Callithrix jacchus: one gene and its partners. The protein of the gene in region 2 purifies or fractionates together with the protein of the main gene of each other region. This does not show direct contact. Links are inferred from orthologs where the notes say so. Each region holds a gene or a part of one and is shown on either strand. Other genes may lie near its edges. The genes, in order: PCDH7, RYK and ADGRA3.

Region 1 (3,664 bases), on a different chromosome or scaffold from region 2:
GACAGAAAAAAAGCAGAACAAAATGGATCCTATTTATGTCAGACGTCAAAACAGACTGTACCTTTGTAAATGATCCCTTGTCCCCTGACAGCAATATTGAGGAGATGAAACATATCAATTACTATGACTAATTACATTAAGGGGAATGTGTTTCATTTGCCTTTATTTCATTTTAGGTCAGCTGTTTACTTGTGGTTAAAACTGTATACTTCCTTCGAATACCTAATGACAGAAAAGTTTTTCAAAGTCACTTTTGGCAAACTGTGTGATTCATTCCAATTGCTTTGAGGGTTTTCTCTTGGAATATGAACTTCTTTGCTCAGTGAAGAGGCTAACACCCTATATTAGTTTATTTATAAGCATATCGCTTTGCCTTTTAAACAGGATGCCAACAGTCTTGATATTAGCTGTTTTAAATATTCAGGAATATAGAGCTAACCTCATCTGATGAGGAAATGAAGCGTAAGTGACAGCACAGAGCATATAAAGTGTTTGCATAAAATATCTATAAAAGTGTCACTTGATATGTCCACTCAAAAACAGAAGATTACACAATTGAGAATGCAAATGCTATCTGGCCACAGGACAGAAGTACCATTAGGATAAAAACCGAGATATAAATATTCTGCAGACAGATCTCTTCACACTCCTTTGCATTACCTGTTGCTCTTTTCTAGAGAAACGTCTAATCTCAATGTATTTTTGGGTGTTTATAAGAAATCTGTAGAAAGTGCTACTGTTTTAGCTAGAATCTTCCTTGTTTACAAAACTGATAAAAGCACCACAACAATACAAAAATAAGCTTCTAACTTCAGGTAAGGCAATAATACAACAGGCATAAACACTAGATTATGTAAAATGTTGGTTTAAAATAAATAATTCAAATGCACATATATCAAAGGACATATTTTCAAAGCCATTTAATGCAAATGTAGTTCAAACCAGTGTTTAGGTTGCATTTGTTATTAGATATAAACGCATATTAAGACTGATTCTCCTTATCCAAACACCTACAGTAAGGTAATATATGTAGAAAATATTTATTAAAAAAAAATTTCAATAATCAAAAAAGCAATAAAGAATTAATATCTTTCTGTAACATCGTTAATGAGGCTATAAAATAACATTTTCTTTTGCCTCAATTCTTCTCAGATTCCACATTCCACACGCAAAGCATATTTAATGGAAACTAGACTGACAGTCATAACTGTGTTTCTTGAGATGGGTTCTGACAGGAAGAAAGACTTACTGATTTATTATCTGAGGTTGCTGTAGCATGAGACACAGCCCTTACCAAAAGGGCTTATTTGCTGTGGGGCAAACTTTGGTGGATACGCAAAGTAAACTTTCTGAGGATTGTGTATCACACAAGGAAAACTTTCAAAAATAAATTTCATTTTTGCTTAAGTTCCACCACAGAATATATGTATATTTTACTGTTTCTATATGTCACTGAGAAACGATTATGTCACATAATCTTTATATTCTCAATATATCATAACACATGCCGAAAGTCTTGCACACAGTATATTGATCATGAATACTTTCATTACGTGACTTAAATAATAAATGGCTCATGCAGTGTATTTTTGTTTACAAACTTTTAACACCAAACAGGAAGAATGCAAATAGTATTTGCATATCATTATAGATTACTAATTCTTATAGATATCAATTGTAATAGATATAAAATATTGAAAGTAGAGTTCTATATGACATTTGCATGTCAGTAAGTATTTTTAAACCAGCGTTTTCATCAAAGGAGTATTTCAATATCTCAGACTTAGTACTACATTTGCTTGAATCAGCATCTGCTTCTCTGTAAAATCCTGCACTGTAAATAACATAGCTAAAACTTTTATGGTATCCAACTTGCATAGACACCAGTAGTAACTTTAGAAACTTTTGCTCTGGATGCAATTATCCACTTAGTTGCCACAAAAGAAAATAATTTCAGGTGAAAACTAACCATCTAAACAATACAAGCATATTTATTCTGGGAACAAAAAGTAGAATGAATTAAGGATGTTGAGTGCAAAGAGAAGTGCAAAACACTGCCTACTTTGAACAGTTCCTTCAGTAGTTTACTGAACCTTAAGTCTAAACTTGCAAAATACAGTGGTACACCACTGGTGGATGGCCTTTGCTAAATTAATGGTGCACAAATTAACATTAAGTTCCTACTGTTAAATTTTAATAATAACTTTAAAAAACGAGAAGACAAAACTTTACCGAAGATAATCTGTCCCAGAGTTACTAGCCCTCCCTCGGATATTTAAATACATTTGGGATACATCTTACCTGTTTGCTGTACTTGTTATTGGTTTGACAGCTGTACTCAGAGCAGTGATCTGATCCAATTGAAATGTTGTCTCCTGCTCCCACAAATGTGTTGGCTGGTGGTAGATCTTGTACGGCCTGGTGTTTTTTTCCTGCAGTTGGTGACTGGGGATGAAGCTGGACAGTAGGCAATGGGGAACTAGATTTGTAATGCCTTGCCAGGTCGGGACTGCCAGGCCCACCATTAACAGATCTGTATCGCCCCATGCTTGGGCTGTCTGACAGCTTTTCATTGACACTATCATACCTCTGTCCATTTGGTTTAGAAGCCTCTACAGTGACAATGCTGCTGTAGAGAGGCTGCTTAGATTTTTTGTTTTTCTTGTCCTTTTTAGGCTTTTTAGATTTGTCATGCTGTTGCGGTGTAAAAAAGTCTTCGTGATCTTTTTTGCCGGCTTCATAGCCATTTTTATTTTTGGACCTGCAGTACCTTGCCATCACTACAATTAAGATGATTAGAATCACTGTCATAATGCCAGCAACCACGCCAATGACAATACTGAGTCTCTGTTTGCTAATTTCATAGCTTGGGTCACCAGCTATATCCTGGGTGAGTGGAGTGTGCAAACTTCTAGCTATCTGGGAGTCAATCACAGTTGCATTAGAAACACTTTCATTGACAAACACATGCACCAGAGCCGTGGTGGACTGGGAAGGCTGCCCACTGTCATTCACTTGCACCACCAACCTATGCAAGCCATAATGCTTTTGGGTGAGTTTTCCCACTAAGGAAACCACACCACTAGTGGGATCAATCTCAAACAGTTTGAAGGGATTCCCTCCCACAATGCTGTAGTTCAGGTCTGCATTGATGCCATCGTCACTGTCTGTTGCCAACACTGTAGCTACTACTGTCCTGACATTACTTGAAGGTGGCAGTAAAGTATAGGAAATGTTTCTGGGAAGGGTAACTGTGGGAGCATTGTCATTTTCATCCATCACAAAAAGCGAGACTGTGGCTGTGGCAGATCTGGGAGGATCTCCCCCGTCCACGGCCTTGACTCTGAAAGTGTATGTGGTCTGATGTTCCCGGTCAAAAGACATTGTGGAGTAAATGGTCCCCGTGTCATTTTCAATAGAAAAAATGTTATTGTTCTCCTCTATATACAAGCTCATCTCTGCATTCCGCCCCTTGTCAGCATCCATCACGGTGACCATCCCTACAGGACTGTTGGGCTGCAAGTTTTCTTTCACATAAAAGGTGAAGACGTCCTGCATAAACTTAGGGTCATTGTCATTCTTATCAGCCACCTGCACAATCACCGTGGTGCTGCCCTGCAGCACAGGGATGCCTTTGTCTTTGGCGTTAACTTTAAACTCATAC
Region 2 (2,318 bases):
GTCTATAAACCCTGGATCTAGAGTAAAATCAGTACAAAAGCTGCCACCTTATCATGATGCAGAAACCTTCAGGGGGTTCTAGAACTGAGAAGATACTCATCTGTATGTCTAAACACCCTCAATAGCCTCCTGCTTATCCCATTCTCATTACATGACAAGATAAGCTATGTGATAGAAGCAGGAAACAGAAAGCAACTACTTTGCTCACTAGTCCAGATCATCTTCCCTGTATCAGCTGATACCAACTGGGAAGGCAAAATGACAGTAAGAAAGGTGTTTTATAACTACTGTGTCCTTTATAACTACTTTATAACTACAAAAGTCAAGTACTCACTCTATATAGAAAAACTGACATAATATTCAGCCAATTTTCCTAGTACATCCATTTTCTTAGTCTGTCCTCTCAGACTAATTTATAGTGCTTAGATTATGCACTATAAAATAAAATGCAAGAAGTTCTAATGTCAAATGCATAAATTAGTGACTGAATCACCCTGACTTTATGGTTCTTTACAAGAGTCTAATTTAAATCCAAACAGTCATTATTTTCAAAGGGAAAGCTCTGTTTGAATATGGAAACCTGCTCATTTTCCTTTATTCCAATATAGTAAATGGAATAAAGTTCATGCCTTCAAGCTCAGAAAAACTCACAATTCATCAGGACAGTTGATTGGCTGGGCTATTCGGTAACCATCTTTCAGGTATGCGGCCATCTCGAAGGGGTCAATGTCCACGTAGGGCGTCTGGCCCAGAGTCATGAGTTCCCACAGCGTCACTCCAAAGGCCCACTAGGAAAGGAGCAGGAGCACAATGAGGGGACATTTAAAACAATGGTGAGGGGGCTAGTGCCCACAGCTAGCTACAGGACAAAAAATAGCAGCTCAACTCAGGCTTCAGAAAAGCAAAATGTTATTTACAAAAAGAAGTCTATCATACGGTTATTTTCTCTTGCCAAGATTAAAAAAAAGTTCATCCAATATTAGTATTATAAATTCTGCAATTAGATCCATTCGAAGTAATAGTTTAGTGTTGATTACAAGCTATGTATTATAAATTATGTCTAAGATTCTTCTAATATGAGAATTTGTACCTTTAAATATTATAGCTAGTCTGCATAACTGAGAAGTGGAAAATGAAAAGAATTCTAGTCTAATTAAAGGGAAAAGCATCCTAAGTGAAATATGCAAATGAGGGGAAACATAAAAAGTCATGGATTTTTACTGTATTTAAAGTTTTAAATTAACAGATTAAAATAACTTCCAAACTTGCCTGAGTTAGCAATCAGACTTATTTAAAATCAGTATGTAAACTACAGAAAGGAACAGGAATGGTCAACAGTGGCAACGGTGTCCACTCATAGTCTGAGCGGGGCTCCCCATTTTGGCCAATTCCTGGCTGTACTCAGCTCCTGGAGAGTGTGCAGGAGGTGGGAAGCAGGCAACATGTCTACACAAAGCTGCTGCCACGTGGCTGAAAAGGACTCAGATCTGGTATGTCCACTGATCTGTTACCATGTATGAACCCTGAGGTCAGAATAACTGAACTTGAATAGGGAAGGGGAAACCTGTAGACTACAGTATCAGGTTTGTGAGTACCTACAAGTCTGAGGCATTTTGTATCCTTCAGTACATTTAATTTCCTCAATAAACCTGTGAGAATCATTGGTAGTTCAGTTTTACTTGTGCTACCATGATGGGGAAACTGAGGATCAGAGGAATAGCTTGCCAAAAAATGCATATTTTAATGAGTAAAAGAAAAAAAAAAGAAAAATACCAAACACAAGTCAAATACAAGTCTATTTGTAAAATCTAAGTATACTGCATTAAATTTTAGGTTACTATTTTTCAGTAACAAAATCCTAAAATACTTACTTTGTAGACAAATTTTTTAAAAAGCCCTATAATAGTGAACAATGGCTACATTTCCCCCAGAATCTATGCAAACAAGAAAACAATGAAATGACATATTTTAAGAACTGTCATAGTAAGTTCTATATTGAGCCAAAATATACTTCAACAATGAAGACAAAATACGGAGTTTTCCAGAAAAATAAAAGCAGGGAGACTATGTCTCCAGCAGACCTGTAAGGTGTATAAAAGCAGTTCTTCATGTGGAAAAAAAAAAATACACCACATGGAAATCTGGGTTGACACAAAGAATAAAGAGAACTGAAAACATATTAGTAACAACTGAACCTATTCTCTTGTGTTAAAATTTCCTTGATAGACTATTTAAAGCAAAAACAGCTAACAAGATATTGTGGGGTTTATAATATACAGAGAATTGAAAGATATACCCACAAACAGTATGAAGACTGG
Region 3 (3,664 bases), on a different chromosome or scaffold from region 2:
CAAATGTAAAACATTAGTGGCTGGGCATGGCAATAAAGGTAAGTGCCAAATAACTAGTCCATACTCTTGTGCAGTAGGAGTTCCTGGGGAGGTATTGATCACTTGCAGCAGGAATACTCAGGAAAGGCTTTATTAAGCAATTGGGATTGAGGTGTGTGTAGAATCTGGATAGGCAGAGAAGATATAGATGGTGAAACTTGTTAACCTCATGTATTTTTATGTATTATTGTATTTCACTCCAAGCTTAAAAAAATTTCCCTCAAGTGAGTTTCCATTAAAATTCCAGTTTTCTTGAGTTTGTAAAAGCATTTTTAAGAAGGCCATGATGAGTAAAAAATAAAGTTTTTATTATTTGTTGCTGTTTGGAATTGCAAAGTTAAAATGTCAAGATTATGTTGATCATTTTGCTAATGACCTTTCTGTTGATCATTTGTGCCTTTGAAATGTAGATGCCCCTTAATCTAACCAATGCTGTGGCAACAGCTCGGCAGTTACTGGCTTACACTGTGGAAGCAGCCAACTTTTCTGACAAAATGGATGTTATATTTGTGGCAGAAATGATTGAAAAATTTGGAAGATTTACGAAAGAGGAAAAATCAAAAGAGGTACTTTTCAAAATTCAGATGTGTAGCATACAGTGTCAACAAATGGTAATGTGACATAGTTCAATCTGATTTTTTAAAACCCGTGTATGTTGTCATCTTTTTTTAAATTTCCAGGATTGTTTTGTTAAGAAACTTCTGCCTCTTCTCTTATAATGACCTGTTTGTTACTGGGATGGGGACAGTTGAACTCTCAGTTCTTGGACATTAAGGTCCAGAGATACGGCAGAGGTAGCTGGTGAGAAAGCAGTGTTCTGCCTCCACACTGTGGCTTAGGCAGGGCTGCTTAGCTCAGCCTGCTTCATTTCTCTTCACACACCCTTCGCTCGTCATTTGTAACAGGAGTTTTAATCACCCAAATCTTGTAGTAAGTTTCTTTTAATTGTCCTTGTAATGTCTTAGAGCAATGAGAGTCTGTTGGGGCACTGTGTTGAAGTTCCAAATGGTTAGAATATATAAGTTTTAAACATGCAATGAATTCTAAAAGTGGCATATTTTAACAGAACCACATTAAAACCATGAGATGCTTGTCCACGTAATATCCTTTAGGGGAACAAAATTGACAAGCACAGTTTTCAGAATGAATGAGCAGCAAATTAACAATGTTTTGAATAATTTGCAAGGAGCAGAATTAATGTGTTCTTAAGCTTTACATTTAAAGCTTCAGGAGAACTTTATATGTACAATTTCTTTTGTAATATAATCACTTATAAAGAAATGAATTCTAGAGGTAGAGGGAACCTCAAGCAAGTGGTAAACTGCAGCCCACACTTAGGTTAGGGCAGGCCTGAAACCAGAGCCCAGAGCCCTGACTCATCCATAAGAGTTTTCTGTAGTATCACTTTCACCTTTTCATGTAATGTGGTCCTGTCTTTTTTTTTTTTAATTATACTTTTAAGTTCTGGAGTACATGTGCAGAATGTGCAGATTTGTTACATAGGTGTACACGTGCCATAGTGGTTTGCTGCATCCATCACCCCGTCATCTATATTAGGTGTTTCTCCTAATGTTATCCCTCCCCTATCCTCCCACTCCCTGCTGTCCCTCCCCTTGCCCCCCACCCTGACAGGCCCTGGTGTGTGATGTTCCCCTCCCTGTGTCCATGTGTTCTCATTGTTCAACTCCCACTTATGAGTGAGAACATGCAGTGTTTAGTTTTCTGTTCTTGTGTCAGTTTGCTGAAAAAGCAATGGGGCAATTGCTTTTTAATCTGATTGAGCCTGGTCAACATAAGCTGGTGCTTTTGTTTTCTCAGGATAGGACTAAAAGCTATCAAACTGCCAGATCTAAGTGATGTATTTAGTGGAGCCTTTTAAAAACAGTTGAAGGTTGTCTGTCCAGCTTTATCTATGTCCCTGCAAAGGACATGAACTCATCGTTTTTTATGGCTGCGTAGTATTCCATGGTGTATATGTGCCACATTTTCTTTATCCAGTCTATCATTGATGGGCATTTGGGTTGGTTCCAAGTCTTTGCTATTGTGCACAGTGCCGTCAAAAACATACGTGTGCATGTGTCTTTATAGTAGAATGATTTATAATCCTTAGGTATATACCCAGTAATGGGATTGCTGGGTCGAATGGCATTTCTATTTCTAGATCCTTGATTCTAAAAGTGCTCTGTACACAACTGTGGAGAAAGCACTGGACTAAACAAAACCTGCATATTTCTATAATGTAGAACTTCTTAGATCCATTAATATTGCTGAAATGTAAATAATAAGACTTGTTTCTATGAATCATTTAATATGTTTTTATATATCAATTGCCCACACACACTTATACATCACATATATATTCTAATATATATTATATATTATATAGAATGCTCTTTTAGATTTATCTGAATATATATCATTAAGATTTAAATGTAATATTGCTTATAATTCAGTGACTGACGTACAGTTCTTTGGCAGTTTAAACCACAGGCCAGAGCTTTCACTGTTCATTAGTGTAGTGAAAAGAAATTAGAAGACTTAAGGGCTTCATTTATTTATATCCAAATATATGTTATATATCTTTATATTAATATAGATATGTTCTTATATACTAGATCTATCTATAATGTAATATGTTAGATATATTCTCAGATATCTACATATTATATATATGTAAATAGATGTATTCTTTTATATATGTAATATATATATAAGAATTACTATCTTGCATTCTGGTGGAACTGTAGCCCTAGTACATTAGGTACTTTACTTGGTAGGATGTGGTTATTAAGGGAAGGAAAACAGATATTTGTATATAAATGGGACTTAGGCAGATAGGCCAACTCACTTGTCAATGGGGTAACATTTCATTTGTTTTCTGAACTTCGGGGGCCATGATTTTCTAATAACTGCCTCGATACTTGATTGTGTCTCTGAGCTACAGCCCTCTTTCCTGCAGTGAATTTTCCTTGCACTGGGAGAAGCTGTTTGAATTCTGGCTCTGTGATTAATATTGTGCTCCATTTTTGCTTAAGATCACAGGTTAGCTGCCCACAGGATTAGCAGTCGTTTCTGGTAGTGGGATGTGTCTAGTTACTAGAATAATTGCAGTGGTATTTGGAATGAGGACATGGAAGAACATTCACCATCGAGGAATACATGTTTATGATGTGACTCTGTTTTGCTCACCTCTCAATTTGAGCCACGTGGTATCCAGAGGTATATACTGAACTGTTTGCCAGCATATGGAAGAATGGTTGGGTGCACTGACAGGTTCTTAGGTGGAAGCATTGTGAACTGGAAATAGACATGGTTTCATTAGTTATTAATTAACCATGGGGCCATTCCTCATTTTTCAAATGGGGATGTTATTTTCTCTGTATAACTTGAAAAGTGTATGTGTACAAATACAGGTGAACAATTTTGCAAAATACTTGCAAAACTTGGGCATAATTTTAATAGGTCATGAAATTTAACATTTTTATAACTCAGAAGCTAAGAAGAAAGTCCATTTAAACAATCACGAGTTCACCAGTTACTTCTTAAAAATTTAGTTTGAAGAAGATTGCTGCCACTTTTACTGGTTAACATAGGATGGCAAAGTTACAATTATCTTTGGAAGCAA

What was found.
Region 1: the proteins of RYK (region 2) and PCDH7 purify together in Homo sapiens (affinity purification with mass spectrometry; 3 studies listed by BioGRID and IntAct, with this or other methods). This does not show direct contact. The link is inferred for Callithrix jacchus from reciprocal best matches to the Homo sapiens genes RYK and PCDH7.
Region 3: the proteins of RYK (region 2) and ADGRA3 purify together in Homo sapiens (affinity purification with mass spectrometry; 3 studies listed by BioGRID and IntAct, with this or other methods). This does not show direct contact. The link is inferred for Callithrix jacchus from reciprocal best matches to the Homo sapiens genes RYK and ADGRA3.

The regions. Positions count from the first base shown.
Region 1 is NC_133504.1:163,020,313-163,023,976, forward strand, and holds part of PCDH7 (protocadherin-7), read right to left. Parts: coding exon 2,302-3,664; intron 1-2,301.
Region 2 is NC_133518.1:50,014,703-50,017,020, reverse strand, and holds part of RYK (tyrosine-protein kinase RYK), read right to left. Parts: intron 789-2,318; coding exon 652-788; intron 1-651. UniProt on the Homo sapiens protein: May be a coreceptor along with FZD8 of Wnt proteins, such as WNT1, WNT3, WNT3A and WNT5A. Involved in neuron differentiation, axon guidance, corpus callosum establishment and neurite outgrowth.
Region 3 is NC_133504.1:171,415,489-171,419,152, forward strand, and holds part of ADGRA3 (adhesion G protein-coupled receptor A3), read left to right. Parts: intron 1-449; coding exon 450-605; intron 606-3,664. UniProt on the Homo sapiens protein: Orphan receptor that may have a role in planar cell polarity pathway.